Macaca fascicularis: one gene and its partner. The protein of the gene in region 1 interacts with the protein of each later gene in a biochemical or structural test. Links are inferred from orthologs where the notes say so. Each region holds a gene or a part of one and is shown on either strand. Other genes may lie near its edges. The genes, in order: SORBS1 and FLOT1.

What was found.
Region 2: the proteins of SORBS1 (region 1) and FLOT1 form a complex in vitro, tested with the Homo sapiens proteins (2 studies listed by BioGRID). The link is inferred for Macaca fascicularis from reciprocal best matches to the Homo sapiens genes SORBS1 and FLOT1.

What each region holds. Positions count from the first base shown.
Region 1 is NC_088383.1:104,255,560-104,259,367, forward strand, and holds part of SORBS1 (sorbin and SH3 domain-containing protein 1), read right to left. Parts: intron 2,778-3,808; coding exon 2,583-2,777; intron 742-2,582; coding exon 1-741. UniProt on the Homo sapiens protein: Plays a role in tyrosine phosphorylation of CBL by linking CBL to the insulin receptor. Required for insulin-stimulated glucose transport. Involved in formation of actin stress fibers and focal adhesions.
Region 2 is NC_088378.1:141,915,109-141,919,355, forward strand, and holds the start of FLOT1 (flotillin-1), read left to right. Parts: upstream 1-1,170; 5' UTR 1,171-1,347; intron 1,348-1,669; 5' UTR 1,670-1,683; coding exon 1,684-1,726; intron 1,727-2,005; coding exon 2,006-2,081; intron 2,082-2,169; coding exon 2,170-2,260; intron 2,261-2,539; coding exon 2,540-2,683; intron 2,684-3,068; coding exon 3,069-3,188; intron 3,189-3,275; coding exon 3,276-3,371; intron 3,372-3,556; coding exon 3,557-3,709; intron 3,710-4,247. UniProt on the Homo sapiens protein: May act as a scaffolding protein within caveolar membranes, functionally participating in formation of caveolae or caveolae-like vesicles.

The DNA of each region.
Region 1 (3,808 bases):
CGCCTGCTCGCCACCTCTATGCCGCTCTGTCTGCTCAGCCTCACTTCCTGGAAAAGCGCTACCCAGGGGCTTGCCGGGCCGGCTCTCCTCAGGGGTGTTGAGATCTGAGAGTCTGTGTTCAGTACTCAGGCACCTGACCACGTCTGAAGGCTTCAAGCAGCTCTTCTTAGAGATCTCGGGTCCGCCAGGGCCTCTCTGGCCTGCCTCCCTCTCTGCTTTCCTCTCATATTGTCCACTCTCTTCGCGCCATGGCTGCCTCTTGCTCTGGCTGCTAAAGGCATCACTAAGCTGGGAGATGACACTATCAGAGCTCCCCAGTGGCAGCTGCGAGAAGCTATCTTGGTGGATGCCTGAAGATGGCGTGTGGACACCACCGTCTCCATTCATGTGAAGGGAGGCCTGGGAAGCGGGTGCTAGGGCGTAGGTTTTGTGTGGGGAAGGTAGGGCCAGTGGAGAAGCTACTGACCGTGGGGTGGGACGATCTGACCAACTCAAATGGGGGAGGCTGAGAGACAGGGAGGGACCGGCCCTTGGTGACAAGGCGAGGTGGTCAGTGTTATAGACAGAAGCCTCTGGCAGAGGAGGCAAGGGTGGGGTCAGGGCCAGAGAACGCCTGCCTGGGACCCCCACAGTCAGCGAGATCCACTCAGAGGTGACGGCGTGCATCTCGGGGGACAGGGCTCGGCGGGAGTGGGGCAGAGATGAGGGTGCTGGCGTGATGAGCTTGCTGTGACTGGAAAACTTAAAAAGAAGAAGAGAGAGGAAAACAAAAGAAAGAAGCAAAAGGTACAAGTGTCAGCATAAAGGAAAAAGAAGGAAAATAATCACAAGGGGTATATAAAGAGGAATGAAATGGAGAGGATGCGCAAGGACACTCTGGTGTCCAAAAAGGAAATCCTTGGGTTACATCTGGGGAGAAACCAGGATGGGTGAGTGTGCATGTGAGCATGTGCGAACATGAGCCTGATGTGTGCAGGCAGTGGGTGGAGGAAGCAGCCACAGGTGTGGAGATGGAGAGAGGTTCCCGTCAGAGTAGTGACGGATGAGGCCGGCCTGCTTTGCAGAATTGGAGTTTCAAAGGGACCCACTGGAAGCTCCCTATCCCAGCCCCCCAGCCCCTGTGCATCCAGATCCCTGACCCGGAACCATGGGGAAAGGTGGCCCCGCACTGCCATGGCCCTTCCCTGAGGTTTTATTTTCTCTGGGAGCTCAGCAGAGTCTTCCAGAGAGGAGTATGAGTAGTGTACTAGTTTTGTTTTACAATCATTCTTGGCTACAGTCAAGTGAAAAACGTAGCTGAGTTCTCTGCATCCTTACAAAGCAGAATGTCCCGCCCCAGTCACACACCCTGTCCTATAAGACAACAGGATGCGGCTGTCACTGTGCAGGAAGCCCTGGGTAAGCCTGTTTAATGCTTTCTGCCAAGAACCCTCTACTGGGGTCAGTGATGAGCAGGTGTCAGAGGAGGAAACAATTAGAGGACTAGACAAGAGGCATCGTCTCAGGGTCAACCTGGGCCCCCAGGTCCTACTCTTGTTCCTCTGCCAACCTCCTTACAACATACATGGTGGTTTGGCTGGACTTTTTCACAGGATGTCACCCCCACCATATCACCCTGAACTCAAGGTTCTGACATTTTCTTGGCTTTGGGAAAGTGGGGATCAGTTTGGAATAGTTTATATTTCTAAACAAGTTTATTCATAATTAATGTTTGGGAGAGCCAACATCTTACCATGCCTATAAACCTACATCCTTTCAGCCCACTGAGACTGAGATGCTATAAGTTACTTGTTCCAGTCAACCTGGTTCCGGTGAATGCAAACACTTTGGACCTGGTCTACGTGGCTGACAAGAAGAAGGTGTAAGTCTCTCTTTCAGCCTTTGTCTTCTGCAGGCCAACTTTGGCCAAGATGACTGAGGACCACATTTGGACCATGGGATTTATGACACAGTGGTGGTCCCCACACCAACAGCTTCACCCAGGAGGGACCAACTGATAGAGGCTCTTGTTTCTCTTTCCCTAGTCACTTTATTCCCAGAGCAATTATCTGACTCTTTCTTTTCCTCTGAGATAATATATCTTCAACCAAGCACTGGAAAAGGCCATTTGTATGCATGAAGACAAAGTCCAGTGTACAGTCTGCTTTCCTGCAGTTTTTTTTTTTTTTTTTTTTTTTTGAGACAGAGTCTCACTCTGTCGCCCAGGCTAGAGTGCAGTGGCGTGATCTCAGCTCACTGCAACCTCCGCCTCCCGGGTTCAAGCAATTCTCCTGCCTCAGCCTCCCGAGTAGCTGGGACTACGGGCGCCCGCCATCTTTTTTTGATTTTTGAATTTTTAGTAGAGACAGGGTTTCACCATGTTGGCCAGGCTGATCTCGAACTCCTGACCTCAGGTGATTCACCCACCTCAGCCTCCCAAAGTGCTGGGATTACAGGTGTGAGCTACCACACCCGGCCTCCTGCAGACAGTTTTTAATTGCAGTGCTCAAAAACCTCCCCAGAGAGGCTGTGTGCCAACAGCACTGTTGACTAAGAAAACTCACACGCTGAGTATGAAAACCAGTGACGAGAAGCTTAGATACCTGAGGGCTTGCAGTGGCACTGCGACTTGGGGAGGCAGAGAAAGGCAGGTCCATGTAATCCACAGGGTTTTTCACCAGTGGCCGCTTGATCACATCCACGTAGGTGATGGGGAAGATGCCTTGTCGGGATGTCCCTGGGATCCTCCCTTCGTACCAGTTCTCATCTACCTGCCGGAGCAGTGTTATCCTCTCACCCTGGAAGACACAGCAAAGACAGGGTCCTTGTCCTAGCATGCCTCTGCATGCCTGGGGCCTCTGCCTGCATGCTTCAATGTCCTGCATTGTTTACCACATTCTTAGCTCAGCAAAAACATTCCCTGCTGAACCCGAGGGAATTACCACCACTGGGATGAGGATGCTAATGGCAGAGGAGCTACCTTGATGCTGGGAAGTTTACCTTGGTTCTTTAAGTATTTTAGTAAAGGAGAACATCAGATTTGTGCCCCTAAGCCAGGGAACAAATATAGTGTTTTTGACTCATTTAATGTGAAACAGATATCCAATCTTCATCTCTAAGGCAAAGATTTTGGGGGGTTTCTCTTTTTCTTTCTTTTGTAGAATTATAAATACTTATAATGTATCATTATAGAAAAATCAGAACACAAACATAAAGCAGAAAACAATCTTCATCCATCACATAGTCATTTGGGGATAAACACTATTAATATTTGGCATATGGACTTCCCAGATTTACTTCTACGCATGTGAATTAAACCTCACATATTTTTTCTTATAAAAATTGAGTATAAACTGTATTTCCATACTTTTCCAACTTGCTTTTTAAAAAATACTTAATAGTACATAGTAAACCTCCTTCTTTATCAAAAAATAGAATTCTAGATTTTTAATGGCATTGCACAGCTTAATGGACCACTGCAGGGTATTCTGTTGCACACACATATAATGATTTAATTACTGATCCCCTGCTGTAGGGCAAATTGGGTTGCTTCCAGTGTTACATAAGATGGTTCATCTTTTTCTAACCCATGTGCTCACTTCCCTCAATCCTCAATAAAATCAGTAACTTAGTAACTTTAGGAAGCCAGAGAATTTTGCCAGGTAGAGTGTTTGGATTCTGGAAAGAAGAACTTCTCTGCACAGTGTAATTGCGTCTGAATAAGCATGACGGTGATGATAATGATACTGGCATCTCCTGTTTACTAAGCACAAACCAGATACCATGTGTCATGCTGGGGGCTTCACATAAGCTGTTTCACCTAAGTCTC
Region 2 (4,247 bases), on another chromosome or scaffold:
CACAAAGAAACACCAGGCGTACCTGGTGCGCGAGAGCGTATCCCAAACTGGGACTTCCGAGGCAACTTGAACTCAGAACACTACAGCGGAGACGACACCCAGTGCTTGAGGCGGGACTGAGGCGCACATAGACCGAGGCACAGCCAAGCTGGGGCTAAGCCCGGTGGGAATTAGAGCGTCGTTAATTTATTTCTTATTGCTCCTAATTAATATTTATATGTATTTATGTACGTCCTCCTAGGTGATGAAGGGGTGTACGTAATATTTATTTTAACTTATGCAAGGGTGTGAGATGTTCCCCCTGCTGTAAATGCAGGTCTCTTGGTATTTATTGAGCTTTGTGGGACTGGTGGAGGCAGGACACCTGGAACTGCGGCAGAGTAGGAGAAGAAGTGGGGAGGACCCGGGTGGGGGAGGACGTTCCGGCTGGGATGAAGCCTGGTGGTGGGTCGTAAGTTTAGGAGGTGACACTGCATCCTCCAGCATCTCAGCTCCGTCTGTCTACTGTGTGAGACTTCGGCGGACCATTGGGAATGAGATCCGTGAGATCCTTTGATCTTCTTGAAGTCGCCTTTAGGGAGAGGCTGCGGGGTAGAGGGTTGGGGGTTGGTGGGCTGTCACGGGGCGACTGTCGAGATTGCCCAGTATGTTCTGTGAACACAAATAAACTTGATTTACTGTCTGCAGTCTTGAGTGTATCTTTGCAAGCGCCGACTCCCCACTCCTCCCCGCCTTCAGATGGCAAGGAACGGCGGGAGGCGCCGTGGCCCAGTCCCCAGCCCGCGCACTTCCCTGGGCCCGGGAGCTCCTTTTCCTGGAGTCAACAGAACCCAGCATCCGGTTGCCCGATGCAGTCTTTCATTGCCCAGTCTGCGGTTTTCCCAGGTAGTTGCCCCGCGGCGAATCCGAGATGTGGCAATCACCCTTACGCCAGGGTGCCGGGCCGCGGAGGTCAAGTCCCGCGCCCGGGGGCGGAGCGTGGAGCTGTGTCGCCCGGCTCAAGAAGGGCGGTGATTGGGGCGGCAGGGATGTGGCCGCCCCTGGGCTAACCAGGCAGCCCGGCTGGGCCCGGGAGCCAACGGGTGGGCGGGCTGCGGACTCGAGCGGGGCCTGCCGGGAAAGGGGCGGGCCAAGCTCACAGGGCCGAGGCGGGGCGAGGTGGGGGTGCTTAGTTTGCTGCGGGGGGCGGGGTCGCGGCTGCAGCAGCAACAGGGTGCGGCCGGGTGGGGAACGCGGGAGCGGACCCAGGAAGGCTGGTCCGCTACCGGCCCCTGCTCGGCTTGCAGGTCCCTGCGCGCCCCCGCCCTTCCCTAGACCCCAGCCGGGCCGCCGCCGGTGTCCAGGAAGGTGAGTGGGGGAGGGGAGATGGAGCCTGGGGCTGCCGAGAAGCAGGGAGGGAGGGGAAAGATCTTCAGGCCTCTGGGCGCAGGGGACCTTTATCAAAGGGAGCGGCGAGGGGAAGGGAGGGACCGTACGCAGGCGGGGAAGAGGTCGCTGGGGATCTTCAGGATTTTGCAGGGAAAAGCTTTAGCGGACCCATGGGTGCGGAAGGGACAGGCTGTGGCGGATGCAGACTGAGAGGGCCTGACGGGAAAAGGAAAGGATGGGCCCTGTGGACGCCACAGCGCCCCTTCCCCATCCGCAATGGCTTTCCCTCCCTCTCCTCCAGCTCCAGCCTGAACCATGTTTTTCACCTGTGGCCCAAATGAGGCCATGGTGGTCTCCGGTAAGTACTGTTGTACCCTTCCCAGCCAGTGACCCCAGAACCCCTGTGAGTCTGGCCTCTGCCCCTTCTCCCTCTCCCTACCAGCTTCCCAGCCCCAGACTTCTGCCCCTTGATGACCACGAACTGCCCAGTTTGATTCCCACCATTCCAAGGCCCAGATTGCTTCCCCTCCAGCTCCCAGATTCTCTCCTGTGGGTTGCTGTCCCCTAGCCCCCGCCAGTTCCTCAGTCTTCCACATTCAAGCTCTGCCACAGTTCCTCACTGCTCCTCACTTTGCAGGGTTCTGCCGAAGCCCCCCAGTCATGGTGGCTGGAGGACGAGTCTTTGTCCTGCCCTGCATCCAGCAGATCCAGAGGTAGGCAAGAAGGGAACCAGGGAAGGGGAACCTCCCATTTTCTCTTTTTCCTCCTTTTCTTACTGTCTGTCCCTTCTTTTTCCCCTAGGATCTCTCTCAACACACTGACCCTCAATGTCAAGAGTGAAAAGGTTTACACTCGCCATGGGGTCCCCATCTCAGTCACTGGCATTGCCCAGGTGAGGCTTTCAGAGCCTTTTCCCCAAAGTCTACTTCCCCATCACCCTCTCACCCGGACATTAAGACATCTTCTGGCCACAGCCTTCTCGATCCTTGCCTGCAGAGAAGTTCCTCTGCTAGTCTCATCTTTTCCAGGCACCCTCAAGGCACTTGCCGCCTCCTCCTTTCTTTCCCTGAAATGGAAGAAGCATTTCTTTGAGGGCTCTCCCTTCTCTCTGCTTCTTCTCTGACTTCATGAGGCCCCCACCACACCTTTCCTACCCCTACTCTGGCTACAGGTAAAAATCCAGGGGCAGAACAAGGAGATGCTGGCGGCCGCCTGTCAGATGTTCCTGGGGAAGACGGAGGCTGAGATTGCCCACATTGCCCTGGAGACGTTAGAGGGCCACCAGAGGGCCATAATGGCCCACATGACTGTGGAGGTTGGCCTGGGGGCAGGGAACCATCTGGAATGATGCCAAAATGAGGGGGACCCAAGGACCACACTAGTCTGTGAGAGACAGTGGATCTAAGAGCTTACATCCCGGCCGGGCAGGGTGCTTCATGCCTGTAATCCCAGCACTTTGGGACACCAAGGCGGGTGGATCACTTGAGGTCAGGAGTTCAAGACCAGCCTAGCCAACCTGGTGAAACCCCATCTCTACTAAAAATACAAAAATTAGCTGGGCATGGTGGTGGGTGCCTGTAATCCCAGCTACTTGGGAGGCTGAGGCAGGAGAATCGCTTGAACCCAGGAGGTAGAGGTTGCAGTGAGCCAAAAAAAAAAGAAATCTTACATCCCCTCTCCCCACCATCCTGTTATCACAGGAGATCTATAAGGACAGGCAGAAATTCTCAGAGCAGGTTTTCAAAGTGGCCTCCTCAGACCTGGTCAACATGGGCATCAGTGTGGTTAGCTACACTCTGAAGGACATTCACGATGACCAGGTAAAACTGGGCAATTGATCCTTCCCCACTTCCTTGCTCCCATCTCTTAAGCCGTCCAAGGGACTAATTTCTACATCTCTCCCACAGGACTATTTGCACTCTTTGGGAAAGGCTCGAACAGCTCAAGTCCAAAAAGATGCACGGATTGGAGAAGCAGAGGCCAAGAGAGATGCTGGGATCCGGGTGAGAGAGATGGGGGTTGCTTAGTGGGAAAGGGGATAGAAGTGGCACAACTGAGAAGAAGCAGGGGTGCTGGGTTAGCAGGGAAAATACTTGAGGCAGACAGAGAACCTTGGTGGGAAGCAGGCTCTCACTGTGGCCTTTCTCCCACTGCCCTGACATTTCCTACCTGATCTCTGCTTGGACAGGAAGCCAAAGCCAAGCAGGAAAAGGTGTCCGCTCAGTACCTGAGTGAGATCGAGATGGCCAAGGCACAGAGAGATTACGAGCTGAAGAAGGCCGCCTATGACATCGAGGTCAACACCCGCCGAGCACAGGCTGACCTGGCCTATCAGCTTCAGGTCAGAGCCACTGCACTGGGCAGATGGCCAGGCTGCTCTCTGCCCCTTTCCCATTCCTCTCAGGCTGTCCGTCTCAGGAACCACCACTTCTCATATTCTAACTCTGATCTTATTCTGGCTCTCCATCAGTGGACCAGCTCCCCTATATGAGGAGAGATTTAAAAGACTCAGATGTTACAGCTGAAAAGCTTTAAAGAAAAGGCCAGCTGGGTGTGGTGACTCGTGCCTGTAATCCCAGCACTTTGGGAGGCCAAGGCAGGCTGATTGCTTGACCTCAGGAGTTCAAGGCCAGCCTAGGCAACATGGTGAAACCCTGTCTCTACAAAAAATACAAACATCAGTCAGGCATGGCGGCTTGGGCCTGTAGTCACAGCTACTTGGGGGATGAGGCAGGAGGATTGCTTGAGGCAGGAGGATCGCTTGAGCCAGGATGTGCAGGTTGCAGTGAGTCAAGATCACACCACTGCACTCCAGCCTGGGTGACAGCGAGATCCTGTCTCAAAAAAAAAAAAAAAAAAAAAAGAGAAAAGAAAAAAAA